Linked DNA regions of Anolis sagrei. The protein of the gene in region 1 interacts with the protein of each later gene in a biochemical or structural test. Links are inferred from orthologs where the notes say so. Each region holds a gene or a part of one and is shown in the gene's direction. Other genes may lie near its edges.

Region 1 (8,735 bases):
TCTGTCCATCCGTCCGTCTGTCTGTCTGTCTGTCTATCTATCTATCTATCATCTATCTATCTATCTATCTATCTATCTATCTATCTATCTATCTTACATTGGCTATCATAATGCCCCTTAACTTCCATTAGCTGCAGAGTATATAAACTAAATTTAGTTAAATCTCCTTCAGGCTGTATTGATAAATAAGGCCAAACATTGGGAGGTGGGGTAGGGTATTTTTTTTTACTATTTATCTTGATCCAAATGTATCAATGAAAAGAAAAGAACTTGAATGTGAAAATGGAGGCTCCAAAAGCAGTTGTAAGCAATGTGCATTTGGGATGTGGCTAAATCCATGTGGAAAAGTAGCTGAAGCATGGATATATATTGATATTCACCCAATTGTTTACATTTTTGTTTCGTTACATGCTTCTTGTGGCGAACATCCTTTTTAGGCTAGTAGTATTTAGAGAGAGAAATGGTTTGACAGTGAGAGAGAGCGTGAGTAATGCTCCATCTGGATCTTGTGTCTGTATTCATGTACCTGTTCCTTCTACTTGTCTGCCATGTAATTGAATGCTTCAACTTGATACAGCATCATAAATGTTTGAAAAGAGCCAGAACATATTATCATGTCTCTCTATCATATATGGAACACTTATAATTTTTCTGTCTTTCTAGAGCATAGCTGAACTTGTATAACAATAAGGCCGAGTGCTATTTAAAAGACAAATCCAAAGTTATATACTCATAGAAGTGTAATATTATATGAGCCATGAAATTGCAAAACTCACAGGCAATGAAATCCAAAACCAAGGGCATCAGAGAAATCAGGGTAGACAGATGCAAAGCTATTTGCAACAGAACAGACAATCCAATATAATGGGTGTTCATTAGGAAATCAGCCTCACTGCGTTTAGCAGTACACAGACAATGGCTGTAGCTGTGGTGGCTTCATTGTCAGTGAATCAGCAAATCTGCTTGGGGATTTAGTCCATACAAGCAGTCGCTGTGTCATAAACATCATAGATAAGTATTGGGTGAAACAACAGGAAGTGAGAGATATCTGCCCCTAGAAAGGGAAATTCACTCCTGAAAGAGCCCTCACACAGTTGGTATACTCACTTTAGTATAGGCAGTTCTCGAGTTACCAACATCCTACTTACATATGTCTCCTAACTATAAACGGGGGCAAGATACCAGGAAGTGAAAGGAAATCTATCTTTAGGACGGGAAATTCACCCCTGAAAGAGTTATCATGGAGAAAAGGTGTTTCCATGGAGGCTTTCTTATCGATCCTTGTTTCTATAACAAATAAGCCAAACATTTCAAAATCCAACTGTCACAGGAACCGAAAGAGAAGTGGAATCTTCTGAACAGGGGCACAGATAGCAAAACAAACATTATAGGGGTGTTAAACCTTCCCTATGCTATCCAGTGTCTGTCTGTCTGTCTGTCTGTCTGTCTGTCTATCTATCTATCTAAAAAATTGGCTGGAGGTACACTTTAAAATGTACCTGTTCTGACTTGCATACAAATTCATCTTAAGAACAAACCTACAGAACCTATCTTGTTAGTAATTTGGGGGAGTGCCTGTATTTCCAATGAGCTTTGCAAGGTGGTGAATCTTTCTGGGGGGAGGAAGATTAAGTTTAGCATCTTAGAAAATTTCTTTAAATGTTTAATTAAAACACAGAATGGATGCACATGGAAGCTGCCTCTAAGATAAACTTATAAAAATCTTAAGAATCTAGATGAAGCTTTCATGGGCTGATACAGAATAATCAGGGTTTCGGATACTAAATGCAAAGCATCCAATTTAAAGCACAATTGATAATTTATTTATTTGGTTTTAATTAGAAATATATTCCCATAGGCTTAGAGGAGAGATACAATTATCACAGATGTTCACTGTCATAATAATTTTAAGTATCATGAGTAACATATTTGTTATTTGTTATTATCATTATTGAAGTAGGAGGGCTGCCAACATTTGTTTTTGAGAAATGTACTGGGTGAAGAGTAATGATTATTCCAGTTCTGCCTTTTCTAAATCTGGAATGTTCAACTTCATGATTTGCATCTTTTTAAAAAAAACATTTAAAGGTCTTTGCTTCCCCCCCCCCCTATTTATAGGCACACAATTTCTTGCCACGATGCCTGAACCGTAAGTAACAGATTTTTTCCCTTGCATTATTCTTTGTTTGGTTTTTTTTTTTTTTGGGGGGGGGGGGGGTTCATGTCCTACAAGTTTGGTCAGCATGAATTTTAGAGTAAACATCTGAATTTTATCATAGGGATCTCATGCGTGTCATCTAGCAGAGCTAGTTGTTATACCTGTCACAGGGGTGCTGCTGAAATTAGCAGTCCTATATTTGCATTTTCTTCCTTTCCTTCCCCCTTGTTTAGAAAGGGGGATCATGCAGTCCTCCAGAGCTTGGCAGCTCAGACAGCCACTCAATGTGAAGAATATTGGAAATTATAATCCAGCAATGTATTAGGGGATCCACATTACAGTTGGCTTTCCACATTTGCTAGTTTGACTTTTGTGGATTTGGGTAATCAGATTTGATGAAATGTTCTCCCTAAGAATCTCGAGCTCCTCCAGTGTGACTCTGTGACCAATGTCTGCCAAAAGAATTCTGGAGAAGTTGATCATAGTGGTGTGCTGGATGATCTAGAGCAGTGGTTCCCAGCCTGTGGGCCTAAAATAAATTCCGTGGCTCTAGATGATTATTTATTTATTTATTTACAACATTTCTACCCTGCTCTTCCCACCCCCGCAGGGGGACTCAGAGCAGCTAACAATGGCACAATTTGATGCCGCAATAATTACAATTATAATAGCAAAATAAAATCATACAATAGATTAAAACAAACATTAGTTATACAATCATTTTCTGTGGATGAGCAGATGGTGACTACTTGATGGCATATGTTCTGTATCAGAAACTAGAACTGATGTGGTCTAGCCAATGCAATTTTCTGAATCAGCACCCCAAATAACAAACTGAATCTAAAGTTGACTAAAAACTGATTTGTAACCCTTTTGGTACTAATGTTGGAGAGTGGTCTCTGGTCAAAGTGGTCCCTGGTCAAGTGGTCACTGGTCAAATAAAGGTTGGGAACCATTGATCTAGAGATTCCCAGACAAGTGTTCTTTCCCATAAAAATAGTAATTTTTTTTATGCTTTCTGCGTCATTAGCCCAAGTGAATGTGAAGGGCTTACTGTATTTCTGCCCCTGGCCTTGGGTCACAGGAGTGGGAAAGCTGTACAGATTAATTTCAGCTAGCCTGTCCAATGGTAAGGTCTGGTTGGAATTGTACTTCAACCAACCAACCTCTGGAGAATCACAGGTTTCTCATGGCTTGATTTTTTTTAAAAATCTGCAATACTTAGCATCCTCCATCCAGCACCACCAGGTCTACATAGAATTTTAGAAAGATGTTTCTTCAACATTAATCATTGCCTATTCTCTCTGTTTCACCACAGACTATGCTCAGAGGCCATTGCCAAAAAAAGCTACTATCCCCTTGACACGCTAACTGGGGATTTTGGGAGTAGTTGTCTGAAATAGTAGATGTTCTGAGCTTTGAGAGTTCACAAATATTCACAAATGAAAATGATTAGGAGAAAATTTTGAGAACAAAATAGTTTCAGCTTTAGTCATAAATCTGTTCCACAAATCAACCACGAGATGGCAGAGTGGAACCTATGATTTCAAGCAGAGTGACTTTCTGAACTACAACTACCTAAATTGCCCAGCCAAGTCAGGGAGGGCAATGCAAATGAACAACAACAACAACAACTTTATATTCTGCACTATCTCCCCAAGGGGACTCAGGGCAAATTCCAACAAACAAAAAAGGCAAACATTAATGTCTTGATACAACCATAGATACACATACAATAACAAACCAGCCAAATCCCAAAATAAACCAATATTCTAAGACCAAATTATAGCATACAACCAATAATTAAATAATAACATGACCTCTCAATTAAATTATATCTAACAAAAAAATCACCAAAGGTTTTTTATTCATCAGTAACTTTTCTTAACTCTGTAAAAACACAGTTCTTACATTTTTTACCATGGGAGTTTGTAAAAGTAAATAGCTTTTTCTCCATGCACTCCCCTGGATAGAAGACAGAGAGTCCATAACCAACATTGTTGTAATACTGGCATCTCAAGCATCAACAACTCACCTGTGATCCCACCTGGAGATGTAGGATCATGAAGCCCATAATACATAATTCCTGGGGTTTGAGATTAACTGTGAAAATTAAGGTCAACATTCTACTCTGAGTTCCATCATTCAAAATATGAATTATGCTTCCATGTTATTGAAATCCTCCTGAGAATGTGTGATGGCAGGGCCAGTCCTACCTTTAGGCAGATTGATTCATCTCAGGCAGCAGATGCTAGTGGGTGGCAGCAAAAAGGAGAAAAATGCTGCACATCACAGGGCTTGCAAGGTGCCCCTAAAATAGCCAGTACCCACAGGCAGGGAAATGTCTTGAGCTGACCCTTTTGTGAAGTTTTAGGTTGAAAATTAGCAGAATTGTAGGGAAATTTTGAACAACATTCAAGTACATATAGTGTCTTCCCACCGATGTTATTTCTCTCAGTTGTTATTGGCTACAGCATCTAAACACCTCCTTCGCATTTCTGTCAATTACATGGAGCAGAATGGATTTTGCATTAGGAAGTGACAGAATTCTGTGTTTATGCCCTTTCAATGCTTACCCACTCCTGCTAACACTCCTGAATCCTAATTTACCAAATTGCAGTAGAGGGCAGTTAGAAAAAAATAGCCAATATATTCCAAAGAGATGCTGCCCCCACAGCATTGTGGGTTGTTGCAATGGTAGGTCACAGCTGACCATTACACATCAATAGTGTTTATATTGTTCTCTGCTGACAGCTACTGATACTGGAGTGAAACACTAGAGGTTACTACTATGATAGGAATATCCTAATATCTACATAACTCTGAGGTTGAAAGTGAATTTTTGAGCTTGAGACCAGCAGGGTAATAAAATTAAAAAGAAAAGCATGCAGAGGAGCAGTATCATTTTTGAGAAAGCAAAACACCAGGATATTCCGTGAATTTTCAGTCATGTTTGAGGCATGTGGTGATGAGCACCATCAATCTACTTTAACCAGGAGAAATAATGGCTGATGTTAATAATGGGGTTTACAGGTCATATTATCTACCAATGACTGGTTGTTATGGGGTACTACATTTTACTGATGGGCTTCATAAATACCCAGCAAACCACAGGACCAAGTAGTGAGATTAAGAAAGATAATTACATATGCAATATTAAGACCAATGTGGAATATGGGTGTGGTATGATCACTCTTTCACAGTAGATCAATTTAATTCCACTTTTACAGAGAACTGTATTTTGCGTATTCATTCTGTTTATTTCATTTTCTCCTATTTTTATTATTTCTTCCAAACCAACATCTAAAGAGAGGTAAGAGCAGTTCCTATATTCTTTTTTCTTAAAAGTGATTTCAGTGTGGCTATGAAATTTGTAAGAGCTTTGTGTCTAACGTGCATTCTATATTTATTTTTGCTTCTTAGAGGAAATCCAAGATCACAGCCTCACGCAAACTCCTTCTAAAGGTGAGGCAATTCAGACTTCTTGCTTTGCCAAAGCAGTTCCAATAAACCAGCTACCATTTGACATTGTTAAAATGAGCTGCCAGAAAGGCTGTTTATAAATGTTTTGGCCTCTTTTTTCCAGAGTTTGATGCTGGCTAAAGCCAAAGAAGAATGGGAACAAGAGCAAGTAGATAAACAAGGAGAGAAGGAGAGATACTTGGCTGAGAGGATCACTCCTTTGAGAACTAGCGGACTTTCATTTGCCCAGCTCCAGGTAGAGTTTTGGTTTTGGGAAGACAATATCAGTTTCATAAGACTTCCAGAACATCATAGAAGTCCTAAAGAACTAAAGCAAGAGATTTAGTTCAGATCTCCAATAAGCCCTGTTTCTTTTGTCTTTCAAGAGACAGGCAAGAAGTCTAGTAAGCCTCATATTTGTGAAGCTATTTGCTGAATTAGAGTTTAGAGGAAATGGTGGCTGATGGACACATCAATGAGTCCACTTGAAATTCAAGTAGAATGAGTCTACTTGAATTTTTAAGGTCTGAATAAAACCCAGAGTGGGTTCAACACTTCACTAATATTTGTTTTAATTTAATTTAATTTAATTTATATATTTCCTCCAACTGGTACCTTGGATGGCTCATAATATGAATGCAAAGCAAAGTTCATAGTTTAAAAATGAATGACAAAAATGTTTAACAAATACTCAAATAAACTATCATATTAAAACATCAATAAAGAAATATAATATTTTTAAACTACAGCACATTCACTTCATTAAAGACTTTTCCACATAGCCACTTTGGGCTCATCCAGAAAGCTGGTGAGACACAGAAGTCTCTGGATGTATCAAGGTATTCAAGTTCACAAAGAGAAAGGAACATGCATTTTCTGCTGCCCCAAAGGGGTTTTAAGTCACAGAAAGAGTAGATTTTGATCCAACATTTGAAGTAACTTATTAGACAATGGGAGTGGTTTAGCAATGCAACCCATTATCTAATTTAGTGGGTCCCCAGATGTTTTGGCTTTCAACTCCCAGAAATCCTAACAGCTGGTAAACTGGCTGGGATTTCTGGAAGTTGTAGGCCAAAACACCTGGGGACCCACAGGTTGAGAACCACTGATCTAGTTTGTGGAATCTCCTTCTCTGGATATCTTCAAAAAGTGGCTGGACAACTACACTAGCTAGTGATCCTTCTAAGACTTCTCTAACACAAAGATTCAATGATTCTATAATTAAATATTATTCTTCTCTTTTCTAATGTCTATGTAACTGTATCTAATAGGTAAATGCTGTCCAGTGCCCATGTATCTATTAATTGTATGACAGTTTCATATGGAAGCCTTTATTGTTTGATTAAGTCAGCTTGATGATGGATCCTGATCTCTCATAGAGCAGGGGTGTAGCTACATTAGACAGGGTAGGGAAGTGACTCACTCCATGATCTTGGCACCCACACTGCTTCCAGTCTCTTTCCTCCCTTGCTATATCCACACTGCAAAATATAGCAGCTTGGCACCACACTAACTAATGGCTCAATACTATGGAATTCTGAGGTTTTTCGTATTGTGAGATATTTATCTTTCTCTGTCAGAGAGATCTACAAACTACAAATCCCAGAATACTATAGGATGGAATCATGGCAGTTAAACTGGTGTCAAACTGCTACAACTCTGCAGCATGGATGGTCTGTTAGCTAGAGCTCCTGATTTTGGTCCTCCCCTAGTGCTGCTCTTCCACCTTCTCAGAGCTCCTCTTCTTCTACCTTCTTCATTCCATATTGCATCCCTTGGCGGCTGTGCACCATTGTTGTTTGTTCATCGCCCCTAGGTATTAAGTTATATTTTTGCATGGAGACTGGTGATTGCTTGGCAAGAAAAGCACTTGGGCTCCAAGAAGTACACACTGACTTGTTAAAATATAAATATTGGCTATTGCTAATGTAAGAGCTAGAGGTTATCTTTCTATTGCTGATTTATTAATCTGTCAAGTAAACGTTTGAAGCATGAGAACACATCACAAACTCCAAGATATGAGAGCACTTTGTCAATGCACTTATTGTAGTAGAGCACATTTACATCACTTCTAATGTAGACAGTTTTGCTCCACCCCAATTTAATCAGTAGATAGTTTCTCCATATTTTTCCCCAGAGAAAGGAAAACAAATGGCATTTTTGACTGGCAGCAATCTAGAAAAAGAATGGCCTATAGAAGATACCCACTGTCCAGTTTTTTGTTTAAATTATCTAGGACCTATGCAGGGAGCTTCATGAGAAGGTGGACATTGTGGATGAAGAGAGATACGACATTGAAGCAAAATGCAACCACAACACACGGGAGGTAAGAAGAAGACAAAACAAAATGTTTGAACGAATTTATCCAGTTTACAATCTGAGTTTATTTTTTTTAAAGTGTGCATGTACCTTTCATTTTCCTGCTACTGAGATAAAACATTCATTTTCTTCGAAAATTACATTCCAGTAAATCATACAGCTTAAAATGTGTAGCTTTGAAAATGTGAACAAGGAGAGCCTTCTCAGTGTTTACTCCCAGGCTTTAGAATTCCCTTTCTTGAGAAAATTAGCCTTTTGTTTCAACAGCCTTTGATATCTAATTGCTTAGAAGAGAAGGGCCTTTCATAATGTTCTGCGTTGTCTATATTTGTCTTTTTGTAATGGTCATGCTTTTAACCACATGAATTTCTATTTATGGTTTAATTATATTTTAAAGTGTTATCATGGTGTTCATTTATTTAGCTGTTATTTCTTTTAACTTTTATAAGCTACCTTGTGTCCTGAATTGTGGAAAAAGCTGGTTATAATATAGTACCACTGGTGATGATGGTGAGGATGATACGTTATAGAGTGGAGACAGTAGTGAAATCACCCAAAGTATGGGTGATTAACCACACTTCTCAAACCATCTTTTTCTGGCATAAATGAAGGTGATTAACTTTTCTTAGAAGCCCCCAGAGGTAGGGATTCACCTTTTAAATACAGTAAGACTCCTGTAACTCACAGAACCCATATCCAGACTTTCACTTATCTGTGCCTGGTGGAAAATGGTATGTTTATACACTTTAGGTCCTTTAGGTCTGGTAATTTTAGAGATCCTCTGGTTCTAAAATTA
Region 2 (7,942 bases), on another chromosome or scaffold:
AGTCCAAAACACCTGGAGGACCGAAGTTTGCCCATGCCTGATTCATAACCTCTTGTTTCATGGAATAATCCCTCCCAGTTCTCCAAGCCTTGTCTTCTCCAAGCTAAACACAGCCAGCTCCCTCAGCAGTTCCTGGTAGGGCTTGGCTTCCCAACATTAGCCCTGTCAATACCTTTCTTGGACTGAGGTGCCCAGAACTAGACACAGCCTGATCCCAGCTGAGGTCTGACCCAAGCAGAAAGGAGTGGGACTCTGACTTCCTTGGGGATGGAGCACCTCACAGAAAGTGATGGAAGCAGCAGTGGAAGTGCCTCCCCTCCTCGGGGGAACTCCCTCCCTCCCTCCCTCCCTCCCTCCCTCAGGAAAGCCCCTCCGCGGCCTCCTCCTCCTCCTCCTCACCGTGTAGTTCTCCACCAGCTCGGAGCCGAGGACGCGGGCGACTTTGGGGGGTTCCTCGCCTTCCTCGCCGGCCCCCATCACCTCCATGGCGACCACCACAGCTGGGAAGAGGAGGAAAGGCCGCTTGGAAGGGGAGGTGGTGTGGGAAGCTCTCACTCGGCCGCTCTTGTTGTTGTTGTTGTTGTTGTGGCGGCCCTTGCGCCGCCTCCCTCAGCAGTGGCCTCTGCCAGCTCAGCCAGGGCTGTCACCGCCGCCATCTTTGATTCCCCCCTCCCCCTCACGCCCAGTAGAGTCGCTGAGAGAAAGGACAAGCCCCGCCCTCGGTCGCTAACACTCCTTTTCTGCGCTTGCGCAGAAGGAGGAGGAAACGCGAAAACCTCGGCCTCGAGGGGGCGGGGCTGAGCTTTGGAGGCGGGGCTAAACGAACACAGGATGGGCCATACCATCGGAATTGGGAAGGGGTATTTTTTTATTATTACTTATGGGTCGTGACCGCCCATTCTTATGCAGGGCTCGCTTAACGTTTACGGCGAACCCCCCTCTCAACAGATGGAAGCGGCACCTGGAAAATAAACAATGTGGAGAGGGAGCTTTTGGAAAATCTTGCTCCGCCCACAGCAAGTCCTTGAGTGACAAAGGCTGCTCCTACTTCACTGTAGAATTGACGCAGTTTGAGACCACTTTCATAGAATCATAGAATCAAAGAGTTGGAAGAGACCTCATGGGCCATCCAGTCCAACCCCCTGCCAAGAAGCAGGAATATTGCATTCAAAGTACCCCTGACAGATGGCCATCTAGCCTCTGTTTAAAAACCTCCAAAGATGGAGCCTCCACCACACGCCAGGGCAGAGAGTTCCACTGCTGAACAGCTCTCACAGTCAGGAAGTTCTTCCTCATGTTCAGATGGAATCTCCTTTCTTGTAGTTTGAAGCCATTGTTCCATTGTGTCCTAGTCTCCAAGGAAGCAGAAAACAAGCTTGCTTCCTCCTACCTGTGGCTTCCTCTCACATATTTATACATGGCTATCATATCTCCTCTCAGCCTTCTCTTATTTAGGGTAAACATGCCCAGCTCCTTAAGCCACTCCTCATAGGGCATGTTCTCCAGACGCTTGATCATTTTAGTCGCCGTCCTCTGGACACATTCCAGCTTGTCATTAACTGCCATGGCTCAATCCTAGGGAATCCTGGGGGTGGGAATTGATCTTGAGAACAACAAAACATCACTCAGAAGACAAGGGAAACAGGGCCAGTTAACTCCTCCCAACAAAGGATTCCCCCAGGCAGGAGGCAGCTAGGCTTTGAAGCTGCAAGGCCATTTGAAAGGAGTGCAAAGAAAGGCTTAGTACATTTAACTCAAATTTGTTATTTATTTATTTATTTATTGTGTCATCAGCAACCAGACATTTGTATTACATTTTTTAACAAAAACAAACAAACAGACAAAACACAGAATTAGCAAGGTTTGGTATTTGATTAAATGTCCTTTGACCAGCAGCTGGTCACTTGGAGTGCCTCTGGTGTTGCCGCAAGGAAGTCCTCCATTGTGCATTGGGGGACATGAGAGAAGCCTCCTCGCAGGATTGCAAGACATCCGGGTGTCCCCTGGGCAATGTCTTCGTAGACGGCTGATTCTCTCGCTCCAGAAGCGACTTGCAACATACTTGAATTTGTTAAAGGCAGAATAAACTTCAAATCGCTGCCATCATTGAAAGTACTATGCTACCTTCGTGACCGTACGTCGTTCCAAGTACCAACCCGGGCCCTTCGTTCCTCAGGGGAGGTCCTCCTTTCGCCTCTACCAATCTCACAAGCTCGTCTTGTGGGCACAAGGGAGAGAGCCTTCTCTTCTGTGGCCCCCTGACTTTGGAACTCTTTACCTGGGGAGATCAGGAAAGCCCCTTCACCGGAAACATTTAAAAAGAACCTCAAAACCTGGCTTTTGCACTGTGCCTTTGGCGAATAGGTGCACAGCATTATATTTTACACCTCAACGTTTTTGGCTAATGGAGTTTGTGACCTCCAAATAGGATGTTCTGTCCCACAGCTCTGTGTTTTATGAGTTCCATTTAAATGTCCTGCTCCTATTTTATCTCATCATAGTTGGTTAATGGTTTGTTATTTGGAAAATGTGACCTGTCCATTGTCATCTCTATCGTGATTGTGTCTATTGGACTGTTTATTATTATTATTATTAATGTCATTTTGATAATGTTGTTGTTGTCTGTTGTATATGCTTTGGTTTTATTGCTGTATTATGTTGTCTGGGCTTGGCCCCATGTAAGCCGCTCCGAGTCCCCATCGGGGAGATGGTGGCGGGGTAGAAATAAAGATTATTATTATTATTATTATTATTATTATTATTATGCTGTTTGCCAGAACATTAACTTTTGATTCTTGCATATAATGTTTTGTTTTCTCAGGGAAGAAGCTCCTGCTGTTGTTATCCAGGATTTTTTTTCAAGTCAGGAGCAACTTGAGAAACTGCAAGTTGCTTCTGGTGTGAGCGAACTGGCCATCTGCAAGGACATTGCCCAGGGGACACCCAGATGTTTCTCCCATGTCCCCACATGAGGGGCTGGAGCTGACAGACAGGAGCACTCCACGCTGCCTGGATTTGAACCTCTAACCTTTTGGTCAGTAGTCCTGTCGGCACAAGGGTTTAACTCATTGTTCCACTGGGGGCTCTGTTATCCAGGAGAAAACAGGGCTAATATATTTCCTCCAGTATTTCAACTCTCCTATACATCTTTGGTATAATATTTAAGCTATATAGGTTATTGTACAGCACAGTAGCAACTATCTCTAGCACCAATCTACTACCACTATCCAGACCATTCTGTGATCCTTTTTTTGTTAGTGTATGAATATCAGAATGCATTTAAAATGGATTATCCTACCCAAAAAGTAAGAAAATCCGCAATGTAGCCCCTGAAGGGATATTTATTTTATTTTAGGTGCAGAATGTATCATACGAGTTCTCTATATCACATTAGTGCAAATGCAAGGTGAGGAAAAACCTATTTGGAGCAGAAAGAGAGTTAACATTTTAAAAATGATTTATTATTGGTCTTAAGTTAGTCCTCCCTGTTTGAAGAAAAGAGAAGAATTGCTCAATATAAATAAACAAGGGAAAAAATTCACAATGAATGCTGGCAAGAAAATTTTTGCAGTTCTAAAAAATGGGGTAATTTCCCCAATATCTGGCATGTACAAGGCTAATTTTAAATACACATACATATTTGACACATAAATACCTGACTTCATTATAATTTGGCCAGCTTTCCTAAGTTGCTTGCAACTCAGTTGGACAGAGGAGGGAGCTCTGATCAATGGAGAGAGATAAATCCTGTTTTGTGATATGGAACATACTTTCAGTAGGAATGCTTCTGCCTGAATGATGCAAAAGTGTAGGTCAGTGCAGTTGTTTTGTCCAGGTTAGAACATCAACCGCATCACAATGATGCTTGTAGGAAAAAAGATAGTAAGAATAAGTTCAGAAATTTATACAATCCAATGTGAAGACATCATTTCAAGACGTATTTTTGGAAACATTTCCAGGCTTGTGCTCATCTCCCTGAAGAATTAGATGTTACAATGAGTTGATGAATACGTCAAGCAAACTGCTAAAAGCAGCCTGAGGAATATCTATTGAATGGGGGATTCTGCCTCTCAGGGCCCTTTCACATAAATATATTAACCCAGAATATCAAGGCAGAAAATCCCACAATATCTGCTTTGAACTGGGTTATCTGAGTTCACACTACCATATATTCCAGTTCAAAGCAGATAATCTGGGATTTTATTCAGCTGTGTGGAGGGTCCTTGGCTACTACATGGTTTGAAGCATAGGCCCATGTTCCTGCCGTAAGGGTCTGTGGTTCTCATGCAGAATCTTGGAAAGTGTTTCTTAAAAAGGACGGTTCCTTCAGTAGGATCTTTTTATATTCCCGGTGGTCAAAAATTAGTTGTGCATTCTTCACCATCTGCCCTGGTTTTGCTATGACTTGGTCATGTGGATGGATGATGGGAACAACAGAACTCAGGCAGCAGAGGTGGACCATGAGATCATGTATCATCTGAATCCTGGAATAAGCATCAATGAAGGATCAGGTTTTCCTTCAGTTCTGTGTCTACTGAAGTGAAAACAGAGCTATCAGTGGAATTGGGAACTGGCTTTAGAAATGTCAGCTGTAACAAACTTCACATACCTCCCCTGAAGACAGGGTGAAAAGTCATGCCTGGAATGGATAGCATGGCCTTTTGTGGGTGTCTCTAAGCTGTGCGGAGCAGTGATCAGCCCTTCTTGATGGACACATTTAGGGCTGACAGCCTGCTATATAAGCAGAGCTTCTAAGGAGAGAAAGCTGGCAGAGACTGGGAATTTGTCTCTGTACAGTTTGCCATCTAAGCCCAGCTCCTGAGTCTTCCTGACCAACAATAAATAATTATGGATGATATTTATAAAGCAGCTGTAAGTAAGATTTTCATATGTAATAATACATTGGGACTTATCTCTAGCTAAGCATGTTTAGGACTGCATTTTGCCTCCTGACAAGAGAACAGGGTGATAATGTTCAGTCTGATGTCACAAATATTATGCAGTGATGATCACGTATTATGTGGTTAAATGTAGTAACAGAACTTTTGACAAGTGTTTTATTTGGTGCAGAGGTTTCTTATACAGCATAGCATATAAATGGGTTGCATGATTACTTTAATCAAATCTACTGTCTCAAGTTTTTTAAAGTTCAGGTTTGTTCTATAGCCCAATCCTGTACAAGGACAGATGTGCTGGAGCTTATTATTTTGAAGGGCTTAAGCCTGCTTTAATTCTGCATAGGATTTAGCTTTTAAATGTACTATATTGCATGTGAATTATTGCAGCCATTACATTAAATATTTGACAGCACATCATCTGGGGAGCTGGGGGAGCTCCTGTTTGTCAGCTCCCGCTTCTCATGCGGGGACATGAGGGAAGCCTACCATAGGATGCTAACACATCCGGGTGTCCCCTGAGCAACGTCCTTGCAGGTGGCCAATTCTCTCACACCAGAAGTGACTTGCAGTTCCCAAGTTGCTCCTGACACGGAAAAAAAAACTTTGTAAAAAGCCAATTATAATTTAATGTGTTATAAAGTCACATTTGAAGTATATGTATACTCAAAGGGAAAGGACTTTAAATCCTAATTGCTAGAAGTTGAAATATAAACCAAACTGAGTCTAGTTTTAAAAGTAGGTAAGGAGTCACTAGAGAAATGTATGGAAGTAATTAAAAAAAAAACCCTCATTTCATTGTGAATGGAAGAACAATCCAAGCTATTTTTAGAGACTAATCGAGTTTGGGTTCTTCGGTGGTTAATCCTGTTATTGAGAAACCTTAGTAAAACAGATTGAAGAAGAATGATTCCTGCATATCAGAGTGAGGGATAAGCTCCCAGAGTGGATTTTAACATCTGGTATGGCTTGTAAATAATCCACCAAAGCAAAGTTGTATTTGGGCTATGGACACACAGTAGTTTAAATAGTGGAAGATTACATTTCAAGGAATATCTGAGATAACACATTTAAACTCACAAATTGCCTGATATTGATTTACATACATTGAGATCCCATAGTGGGGGTGGGTTAGGGGGTAGATAGTAGAGTGAGGTTAGAATCCATATCTCCTCCCTGCATCAGTGGCCCAATCCACAATAGGCTATTAGTTGCTGACTTGCAAATAGAAATATGATGGTCCTGGCTGTCTGAAAAACCATGCTGGAGTCTCGTCTACACTGCCCTATAATGCAGTTTGAAATTGTATTATATGATCAGTGTGGACTCATATAATGCAATTTTCCCATATTTTATAGATTTTTTTTAAAAAAAAACTTACAATGCAATTGTGTTTTATCACAATCTGTCTAAATGTGTTTGCATGTACGAAAGGTTTTTCAAAAGTTGCTTCTCTTCTTTCTTTATGTCTTCACTACTTTTTATTATTATTCACTGCTCTCAAATTGCACCCCAGGCTACTACCATGCCCATGGCTTTTTCCAGCCCTGCGCCCCCTCCCCCTTTATAGGAAAAAATCACCCACTGGAGGAATCACTGCTCTAGAGCGCACCATTATACTTTGTAAATTATTTTACTGTATGTTTATTCCATATTTTCCCTAAGGAGTTGAGGGTACTTCATTTAACCCTCAAAGGTCTTTGTCACATAGGTTTAGTCCCCTTTCTCACAGCTGTATAAAATCCATATTGAACTAGATTATATGGCAATGTGGACTCAGATAACACAGTTCAAAGCAGATATTGTCGATTATCTGCTTTGGTATTCTGGGTTATATGACTGTGTGAAAGGGCTCTCAGCTGACTGGCTTAGCATGCCAAAGGTCACCTAAAAAAGAGGTTTATGGCTAAAGGACGATTTCAAACCAGATTTCTCCTTTCCAAGTCAATGTTGTTAGTTGGGTTGCTGTGAGCTTTCTGGTCTGTATGGCCATGTTCCAGAAGCATTCTCTTCTGGCATTTTGCCCACATCTATGACAGGCATCCTCAGAGGTTGTGAGGTCTGTTGGAAATAGGCAAGAAACACTCAGGGTGAGCTAACACCTCCCAATAAAGGATTCCCCCAGGCAGGATGCAGCCAGATTTTGAAGCTGCAAGGTCATTCAGTGCTAATTAATGTTGCCAACTGCAACATTCTGCCTGAAACAGACAAGAGTTCCTTCTCCCACCCTGGACATTCCACAGATATATAAATCTCATTTGTCCTAGTTTCCAACAGACCTCACAACCTCTGGAGATGCCTACCACAGATGTGGGTGAAATGTCAGGAGAAAATGCTTCTGGAACATGGCCATATAGCCTGGAAAACTCAAAGCAATTCAGCGTTTCCGGCCATGAAAGCCTTCGACAACACAATGTTGTTAGTGTTTTCACATAATTTCTGACTTATGTTGATCCAACCATAGAGTTTTCATGTCAGAATTTATATTCAGAGGAGGTTTGCCTTTGCCTTCTTCTAAGGCTGAGAGGGTATGACTTGCCCTTCATGGCTGAGCTGAGATTTTAACCCTGGTCTCCAGCATCATAGTCCAACACTTCAGTCATTATACCACGCTAGATCCCAGACTTGTCAATGCCTCTGACACCTTACCCACAAAAGAAAGAACATTATGTTATGCATGACTTTTATTGCAGAGTTGATTGCACATTTAAATGTGTAATGAATAATATACCCAATCATTTCTAAATACAACCATTCATTTGGACCAGAGGAATCCAGTTGATTTCTCACCTTGCCCACTGACATCTTATACACAGAGCTAAGTTTAGAACAGTGTCCAGATGCTAGTACGGAGAACATGGCCAGGGATGTGTGTCTAGATAAAAGTCTCCAGGGATAAATACCCATGTCAATCATGTTGGGGGAACAATTGGGCATGTTATCTTTCTTACCCTTACTCGCACCCCAGCCACTCACTAGTGCATAAAAATAGCCAGCATGCCAAAATAGTCAAGTTATGTGCGACACAAACAGAAGTGACAAGAAGC

The links.
Region 2: the proteins of TNNI1 (region 1) and TNNC1 are reported together in a solved structure, tested with the Homo sapiens proteins (2 studies listed by BioGRID, with this or other methods). The link is inferred for Anolis sagrei from reciprocal best matches to the Homo sapiens genes TNNI1 and TNNC1.

What each region holds. Positions count from the first base shown.
Region 1 is NC_090024.1:204,278,250-204,286,984, reverse strand, and holds the start of TNNI1 (troponin I, slow skeletal muscle), read left to right. Parts: upstream 1-5,449; 5' UTR 5,450-5,471; intron 5,472-5,581; 5' UTR 5,582-5,623; intron 5,624-5,744; 5' UTR 5,745-5,750; coding exon 5,751-5,876; intron 5,877-7,856; coding exon 7,857-7,946; intron 7,947-8,735. UniProt on the Homo sapiens protein: Troponin I is the inhibitory subunit of troponin, the thin filament regulatory complex which confers calcium-sensitivity to striated muscle actomyosin ATPase activity.
Region 2 is NC_090022.1:68,380,891-68,388,832, forward strand, and holds the start of TNNC1 (troponin C, slow skeletal and cardiac muscles), read left to right. Parts: upstream 1-4,703; 5' UTR 4,704-4,848; coding exon 4,849-4,872; intron 4,873-7,942. Other genes in the region: NISCH (nischarin), read right to left, coding at 400-486. UniProt on the Homo sapiens protein: Troponin is the central regulatory protein of striated muscle contraction. Tn consists of three components: Tn-I which is the inhibitor of actomyosin ATPase, Tn-T which contains the binding site for tropomyosin and Tn-C.